Mus musculus: one gene and its partner. The protein of the gene in region 1 binds, or shares a complex with, the protein of each later gene. Links are inferred from orthologs where the notes say so. Each region holds a gene or a part of one and is shown on either strand. Other genes may lie near its edges.

Region 1 (4,508 bases):
TTCTTAATCAACCTGGGTGGGTAATTTGATAAGTATGTGTGTGGTTAGATGTTTGACTATAGGAGTCTGGAGACATCAAGCAAGAAGGTAGCCTGGAGAAACAGCCAAGAGTTACAATGCTTGCTGACAGACACCCCGGGCTCAGTTTTAAACCAAATGACTAGCAAGGCCACACAGCATAGTACTGACCAGAGTTCTTAACAATAATAACACCATGCAGGTCCTACTGGCAGATGCGGTGCCAAGCACCTAATTAGCATCCAATCACTAAACGAAGCTATTCAATATATTCGTGTTCATTAGAAAGAAATGGGGGCTGGAAAGATGGCTCAGTGGTTAAGAGCACTGTCTGCTCTTCCAAAGGACCTGGGTTCAATTCCCATGGCGGCTTACAACTGTCTCTAACTCCAGTTCCAAGGGGCCTGCCACCTAGACACCAATGCATGTAAAATAAAGCTAAATAAGTTTTTTTTTAAAAAGAAAGAAATGAATACAAATCTACCCCTGCATAAGATATTGGGACACAACAGAGGGTGAAATGTGTTCTAAGAATCTAGGGCACCCGTTCAAGTTAAGCCCTCCCCTTCCCCTCAAAGTTGAGGGGGAGCCTGCACACTCCAGAGCCCAGAACTTAACCATTTGACCTATCATCTTTACTCCTGTCAGGAAACATCTGGGGTTGTATCACGACATTTAAAGAAAACGGGGGTGGGAGAAGGAGGTTGAGCCTTTACTTAACTCCCCGCTTAACTTCCAATGGGACACAGATAACTTATATCCTTCCCGGAGGGGACACCGAGGCACGAGACCGGAGGAGCTCGCCCCCGGAAAGCTAACACCGGGGAATGCAGGGGGCCCAAAGCGAAGCCGCGCGACCACTTCTGCTCAGGGCGGAATTCCGGCTTGGACCCACCGGGACCGAGGCCCTTTGAGAGCCGGGGTGCAGGCCGGGCCGGCCAACTCTAGGACACGGACTTGGGGCGAGCGGCCTCCTGCCATCCTCTCCGTTAGCCCCGGTCCTTCACGTGATCCACTACAGACCCTAGCCAACCACACTAGCCCGCTTCCTTACGCCCCCTTGACCCCGTACCCGCAGATCAGGGTCTCGGTCTCCCGCTCTCTTCTAGAAAAATGGAGGAGCGAATCGTGCCCGATCGATCGCTCGGAGTGCACACCCAGTGCGCACGTGCAAAGGGCATGCAGCCGAGCGCCGAGCATCCCTGCTCCCTCGCAAGTCTGCCCTTCTCGCCATCTTACTCACTGGCACGTTCGAGACGCTCATTCACCGTCTCCGAACTAATCACCTCCGCGACTGCCTTGAATCCAAAGGGCTGTGTGTGACTGGCGAACGCCTGATCCTGGGGAGCACGGCGGGCGATAGAACGGCCGCAGATCGGACGGGCCGTTGGTGCACCACTTCCGGGCTCCGACAGCTCAGTGCGCCTGCGCCCAGCTACGGCAGGGAACGAGCTTCCCATAGTCGCGTTTACGGTGAGCCAATCACAGAACGGCATTGCTCCGGCTCTAGCCAATCAGCTCTTGGAGTAGAGGGTTTGACTCCTATTTTAAAAGGAGAACCTTTGAATTGTAACGGCTGAGCTACCGGGATCGCTTGGAGGCTTCGGTCGGGAGCAGGTTCCTGCCTGTGAGTTGGAAAGGGACATGGCTGTTGAGGGCGAGCCTGGATGCTGCAAACGGATAGGGAAGGCTGTGTGGCGTCGGGGTAATGGACTGTCTCAGTGGGTTTGCATTCTGTTTAAGAAAGGTCCAGACGTTTAAGATTTCCCGGCTTGGTTTTAGGTTCTTGTGGGAATGGGGATCCAGACCATCAGCTAACCGAGTAATTTGCAAACCGATGGTGGATGCGGGAACTGCGGCTTATTGGGGACTGCTTCGGGTGGAGAATCAGAGTCTAAGTCGACTCGACGAGTCTGTGGATGAACGGGAGTTCCCTCGTAGAGTGCCCAGGACTGGTGCTGCTCTTCCCGCAGCCTTCTGAGCAGTTTATGTCGGGACTACTTGAGGGTCTGTTTCAAAGCGCAGACCCGCTAAAGCTCAGTTTGTAGAATATTCCAGAAGTTTTAGGATTGAACACTGCCTTCGTGGTGGCCGCCGCTGTTTATTCCAACAGTAAGGTGGTGGAGGCAGGATCAAGTCAAAGGTCATCCTCAGCTACACAGTAGGTCCGAAAAACCAGCCTAAATTACATCCACATACGTCCCTACCTCAACACCTCCATCCCCACCACACACACACACACACACACACACACACACACACACACACCTAAATGTGTGGTTGCTTACATCAGCAGTCTGAGGCAGGAGGTTAGCCTTCGATTTAAGGCCAGCCACAGCTAATAAGTGAGAGCCTGTCTGGGGATGTAGTTCAGTTAGTAGGGTGCTTGCCTAGCCAGCCCTGGATTCCATTCCCAGCACTTGGAACCCCGAGGATGGTGATGACCTCTGTGGTCCTAGCACTGCGGAACTGCAGGCGGGAGGATCAGGAGTTCAGAGTAATCCTCCACCGTATAGCATGCTCAAGGCCAGCCTGGGATCCATGGAACTCTTGTCTCTACCACAAACATAAAGGTTAGGTGTGGTCTTGCATTCTTTTAATCCCAGCCTTTTGGAGGCAGAGGGAGGAACTCGGTGAGTTCAAGGCCAGCTTGGTCTACCTACATAATGAGTTCCAGAACAGCCAGGACTACCCAGGGAGACCCTGTCTCAAAAAAAAAATCCAAACCTAACAAACAAATCCTGGCTCCACTGCAAATACAGGAAATAGAAACCTCTTAGGGATAAGACCCTGGTGTAGCTATTATGGGAAAGCTAAACTGCAGGGCTGGTTATTAACCTTGGTCTGGGGCCCAGGAGTGTGAGGTAGCTGCAACTGCAGTCCTTTGCTCAGGGCTTCTGCCTCCTGCCTAGCTTCCCTGATCTGAAAAGGGGAACCCTGTGGCATGTGCAACTTTCTTGTAGTAAATCTTTGAGCTGAGTGAGAACCATCAAGGTCATTTGGTGTAGATCCGAAGGTGAAGGACTTGGACTCCTCCTAAAAGAAAGGCTCTTGTTTCCTTTTTCAGGTGACATGGACAGATGTAAAGAAAACTGTGTCTCCAGGCCTGTTAAGGTACAGAATTACCTGTATTTACAATTTCGGCTTTTAAAAGATTTATTTCTGCCGGGCGTGGTGGCGCATGCCTTTAATCCCAACACTGGGGATGCAAGGAGGCAGAGGCAGGCGGATTTCTGAGTTTGAGGCCAGTCTGGTCTACAGAGTGAGTTCCAGGACAGCCAGGGCTACACAGAGAAACTCTGTCTTGAAAAAAACTAAAAACAAAACAAAACAAAAAGCAAACCCAAAACGAAAACAAACAAAAGATTTCTTTGCTTATTTTATGACTATGAATGTGTCTTCATGCACACTAGAAGAGGGCATTACAGATGGTTATAAGCCACCATGTGGTTGCTGGGAATTGAACTCAGGACCTCTGGAAGAGTAGCCAGTACTCTTCATCGCTGAGCCATCTCTCCAGCCCCCACAATCGGTATTTTTTAAATGATGTGCATTTTGTTTGTGTGCACCTATGCATATGCCACTGTGTAGGTCAGAGAGCAACTTGTCAGAGTGGGTCCAGAGACCCTAACCCAGGTCCTTAGGCTTGGCTGTAAAAGACCTTAGTCCCTGAGCAAATCTGTACAGTGCTCGTGGAATCGAATCCTTTCCTCCGTGGCTTTGGGTAGAAACTTTAGGTTGACCCTGCCTGGAGGCTACCTGAGCCTCTGTTTCTTCAGGAAATGGCTCTGCTGTGGAAACCTCAGACCCTCTGAGCTCATGGTGGATCCTGAGCGCCTCATTTAAGGAGGAGGGAGTGCCAGCGTCTCTGAGTGTGATTAGTTTAGTCTTAAGATCTCGTTAAGACTGACACAACACAGATCATCCCGTGCAGTAGTGATTGTTTTCAAGGCCTCCGTGGTCTTCTTTGTCCTTTTTTTCCTATTGAAAAACATAATTTCTATGCATTTTAGTTTTGGAGATAACATTCTTAAAAAATATTTCTGTTGGGTGGGGCTTGGTGGGCACACCTCTAATCCCAGTATTTAGGAGTCAGTAGTGGGCAGACTGAGATAGAGGCCAGGCTGTTCTATATTGTGAGTCTGGGACTGGCCAGGATTACACAGTGAGACGTGGTCAAATAAGTGCTGTGATAGAAAGACCCAGGGGATGGATGATCTGAGAGAACGGCAATACGCCCTGGAAGCCCAGCATAACCTTAGATTTAGACTGTTTTTTTTTTTTCAAAATTGCTTGAGGATGATTCTATCGTCTTTTCTCCTAAACGTAAAATTGCTGCAAGGATTTGATATAAACTTTCAGTAACAATAAAGTTTGCCTCAGGCGCAGAGGCTGGCCTAGAACTCAGTCAGTGCCCCTCCTGCCTCAGCCTCAGTACTGGATCACAGGTGTGGAGTGCCAGCGTCCGGGCCGCTGGGTTTCACAGGTGC
Region 2 (3,500 bases), on another chromosome or scaffold:
ATAGAACATCTCCCTGCTATGCTCACGGGGCATTTCTGTACATACGCTGCAGCATCATTGACTTCCTAGTGACTAAAACATACTGTTTTCCCAGAATGAGTCTGCATGTCTTAAATGACGAAAACGTGCCCAATGAAAAGAGTTCACAGTGCCGTGATTTCCAGTTTTTGCCACCAGAACTTACCGGCAGATCATCTGTTCTTTGTCTGTCACAGAAAGAAAATGTACCACCCCAGAGCCAGGCTAAGGCCACAAATGTAAGTGCGGACTGTACTGTGTATGCTCCTCAGGTACTCTGGGACTGGCTTTCTGAGAGCCTTGCACTGTAGCAGGTTGGCTTGCTTGTGAGGGCGTGTATCATGGAGCATATGCACTCTCCTCGACTTTCACTAGGTGACGTTCCAGACACCACCTCGGGATCCACAGACACACAGGATCTTAAGTCCTAACATGACCAATAAGCGTGAGGCTCCTTTTGGATTACAAAATGACCACTGTGTCTTCTTACAGAAAGAAAAGTAAGTGTGGATGCCTTTCACTGTTCTTCAGTACTGTCTGTCCTCTCTGAGGGTTGTTGCAAAATCTTCCAGTCCTGTCCTATCTAGACTTTCTTCTCTTGATCACTGTCCTTAAGTGTAGTATCTGGCACGGTTGTCAGTTGAGAGTTAATCATCAGCTAGTTGAACTGTTTTAATTCCATCCTTTACTCTTTTGCTATGTTCCTACCTAACCCCAAAGCCCATATAAAAACTACCCAATCCAGTTATTATCATTGTAAGCTGTAAGCCTAGATTGGGCAGATCTAACACTATACAAACTTCTTCTCCAGCTATAAGATCCCTTGTTACTTACAGTTCCTCCTGGCCCAACATGGCTTCTTCCTCCTCCTGTTCCATCTTTTCTCCTTCCCCTCTCATCCTCTCCTCTTCTCTCTTCTCTCTCTCTCTCTCTCTCTCTCTCTCTCTCCCCCCTCCCTCCCTCCCTCCCTCTCTCACCCTATCCCCACTTTCAAACCTCCAGTCCCATCTTTCCCCTCCATTGTCCAGTCGCAGGCTCTAGCCTTTATTGACTAGTTAAAATGGGAGACGGTTCACATGAAATCACCTGAGTACATAATGGGCTGCTTGTCGAGGGCAGCCCCTCTTGAGGAAGCAGAATTACCATCAGAATATAAACAGCACCAGGACAACCCACAGTGCCTACCACCTATTCTTTATTTCTATGACTTGATAGAATGATTAGATCTTATTTCCAGACAAGATTACCTATAGTTTCCTTCCTATTGAGTTTGCTTATCTCTCCCTTCTGCTTAAGATTAGCGTTTGGCACCAAGTGGTGGTGGACACCTTTAATCCCAGCACTCGGGAGACAGAGGCAGGCGGATTTCTGAGTTCGAGGCCAGCCTGGTCTACAAAATGAGTTCTCTATATAGCCAGAGCTATACAGAGAAACCCTGTCTCAAAAAACCAAATAAAACAAAACAAACAAACAAAAATTAGCATTTGGCTTCCTGTGCTCAAAACTTGGAGAGAGCAGATAGACTCATAAACAGAAATTATCATATGAATGATGAGTCAGGGCTTGGGAGATGGCTCCTTTGGTACTGTTGGCTATACAAACGTGAGGGCTTGAGTTCCATCCTCAGTATCTAGATCAAACTCCCCAAGCCAGTACGCAGAAAAGGGGAACACTGTCATCCCAAGAGCAGCTTCTTAATGTGTGTGTGATCTGGAACCTAAATGCCACTTGTTTATGTAGCCAGCATTCTACTTTACTTCAAACTTCAGGACAAACAGATCTCAGGTTAGTCCAAACGAGGCACAGCTTCAGAATCCCTGTCCCAAGACCATGGGAGAGGCACTCTAGAGTTGTTCACAGCATATGTGCACCTTACTAACAGTAAAATGAGTGCAGGTAGTTCCCCAGTAATCCTAGCATTGTGGCTGAGGAAGTCAGATCAAGAATTTGAAGCCAAGCACACGTGGCACACGCCTTTAATCCCAGCACTCGGGAGGCAGAGGCAGGGGGATTTCTGAGTTCGAGGCCAGCCTGGTCTACAAAGTGAGTTCCAGGACAGCCAGGGATACACAGAGAAACCCTGTCTCGAAAAAACCAAAAAAAAAAAAAAAAAAAGAATTTGAAGCCAGATTTCTCTATGTAGTAAGAGCATTTCTTTAAAAACTAAAAATAAAAAAATAAATAACAGGGCTGGTGAGATGGCTCACTAGGTAAGAGCACCCGACTGCTCTTCCAAAGGTCCAGAGTTCAAATCCCAGCAACCACATGGTGGCTCACAACCATCTATAATGAGATCTGACTCCCTCTTCTGGAGTGTCTGAAGACAGCTACAGTGTACTTACATATAATAAATAAATATTTTTAAAAAATAAGTAAATAAAAAATAAATAAATAAATAAACAACAAAAAAACATACGCTACCAATCAGGTGAAAACTGGCTGGTACCACAGCAAGCCATTGTCCTTAGGTACTCCAAGAAGCAGCTGTGACCTGAAACTATGCTAGCATTCCAGCAGCCAGGTACTCTTACCTCCAGAGAAACATCATAATTTTCATGTACCTTCTCAACATGAGCAGTTTTTCAGGTGAATCAGCATAAGAGGGAGGTAACAGAGTTCAGTGCCAGAGCAGGGCACACAGGGAAGACCCAGCTCTGACAACTCTGTCTCTCCAGCCAGCGGCCTTTAGCCCCAGTGGATGATGCACCTGTGGTTCAAATGGCAGCTGAGATCCTAAGAGCAGAAGGCGAGTTACAGGTATGTGTGTACATGGTTAGGCGCTGTCAATATTATTACATATTGTATAGAAAAATAACAGGGTATTGAGGTATAGTGGTGCATACTCTTAATCCTAGCACTTGGAGCGCAAAGGCAGGCAGATTCTGAGTTCTAGGCCAGCCCAGTCTATAGTGAATTCTAGGGCTTCAGAGTGAGACCTTGTCTCAGAAAAATAACATAGTAGAAGAGGCCACCAGCTGTCTTCTAGTAACAGGGTGGGATATAACACTACCGCCATCCCCTAGAGCTGCCTCACTGTCTGGGTTTATTTTAAGGAGAGAGTGGTGGGGCTCTCCCTCACCCAGAACCTCACTCTACAAGGTGATGATGACTTTCTCTCTAGGAGGGAATCTTGACTTCCTCAAGCCTTTCAGCTTCCACAAGTCTTCTGGACAGTGAGCTGGTGACCCCTCCTATCGAGCCAGTGCTGGAGCCTTCCCATCAGGGACTAGAACCTGTCTTGGAAAGTGAGCTGGTGACCCCTCCTGTTGAGCCAGTGCTGGAGCCTTCCCATCAGGAACTAGAACCTGTCTTGGAAAGTGAGCTGGTGACCCCTCCTATTGAGCCAGTGCTGGAGCCTTCCCATCAGGGACTAGAACCTGTCTTGGACAGTGAGCTGGTGACCCCTCCTATTGAGCCAGTGCTGGAGCCTTCCCATCAGGGACTAGAACCTGTCTTAGAAAGTGAGCTGGTGACCCCTCCTA

Evidence for each region. The genes of interacting proteins can lie anywhere in the genome.
Region 2: the proteins of Aurka (region 1) and Tacc3 are in contact, whole or in part, in a crystal structure (PDB 5ODT), measured with the Homo sapiens proteins. The link is inferred for Mus musculus from reciprocal best matches to the Homo sapiens genes AURKA and TACC3. Residues at the interface, in NP_001310232.1 of Homo sapiens: Leu130, Phe133, Glu134, Ile135, Gly136, Arg137, Tyr148, Leu149, Ala150, Arg151, Ile158, Val163, Arg205, Tyr207; in NP_001428248.1 of Homo sapiens: Glu523, Ser524, Phe525, Arg526, Pro528, Val531, Leu532, Gly533.

The regions. Positions count from the first base shown.
Region 1 is NC_000068.7:172,367,610-172,372,117, reverse strand, and holds the start of Aurka (aurora kinase A), read left to right. Parts: upstream 1-1,547; 5' UTR 1,548-1,645; exon of another isoform or gene 1,646-1,662; coding exon of another isoform or gene 1,663-1,723; intron 1,724-3,085; coding exon of another isoform or gene 3,086-3,090; coding exon 3,091-3,132; intron 3,133-4,508. UniProt on the Homo sapiens protein: Mitotic serine/threonine kinase that contributes to the regulation of cell cycle progression.
Region 2 is NC_000071.6:33,661,128-33,664,627, forward strand, and holds part of Tacc3 (transforming acidic coiled-coil-containing protein 3), read left to right. Parts: intron 1-94; 5' UTR 95-95; coding exon 96-257; intron 258-393; coding exon 394-518; intron 519-2,693; coding exon 2,694-2,775; intron 2,776-3,139; coding exon 3,140-3,500. UniProt on the Homo sapiens protein: Plays a role in the microtubule-dependent coupling of the nucleus and the centrosome. Involved in the processes that regulate centrosome-mediated interkinetic nuclear migration (INM) of neural progenitors.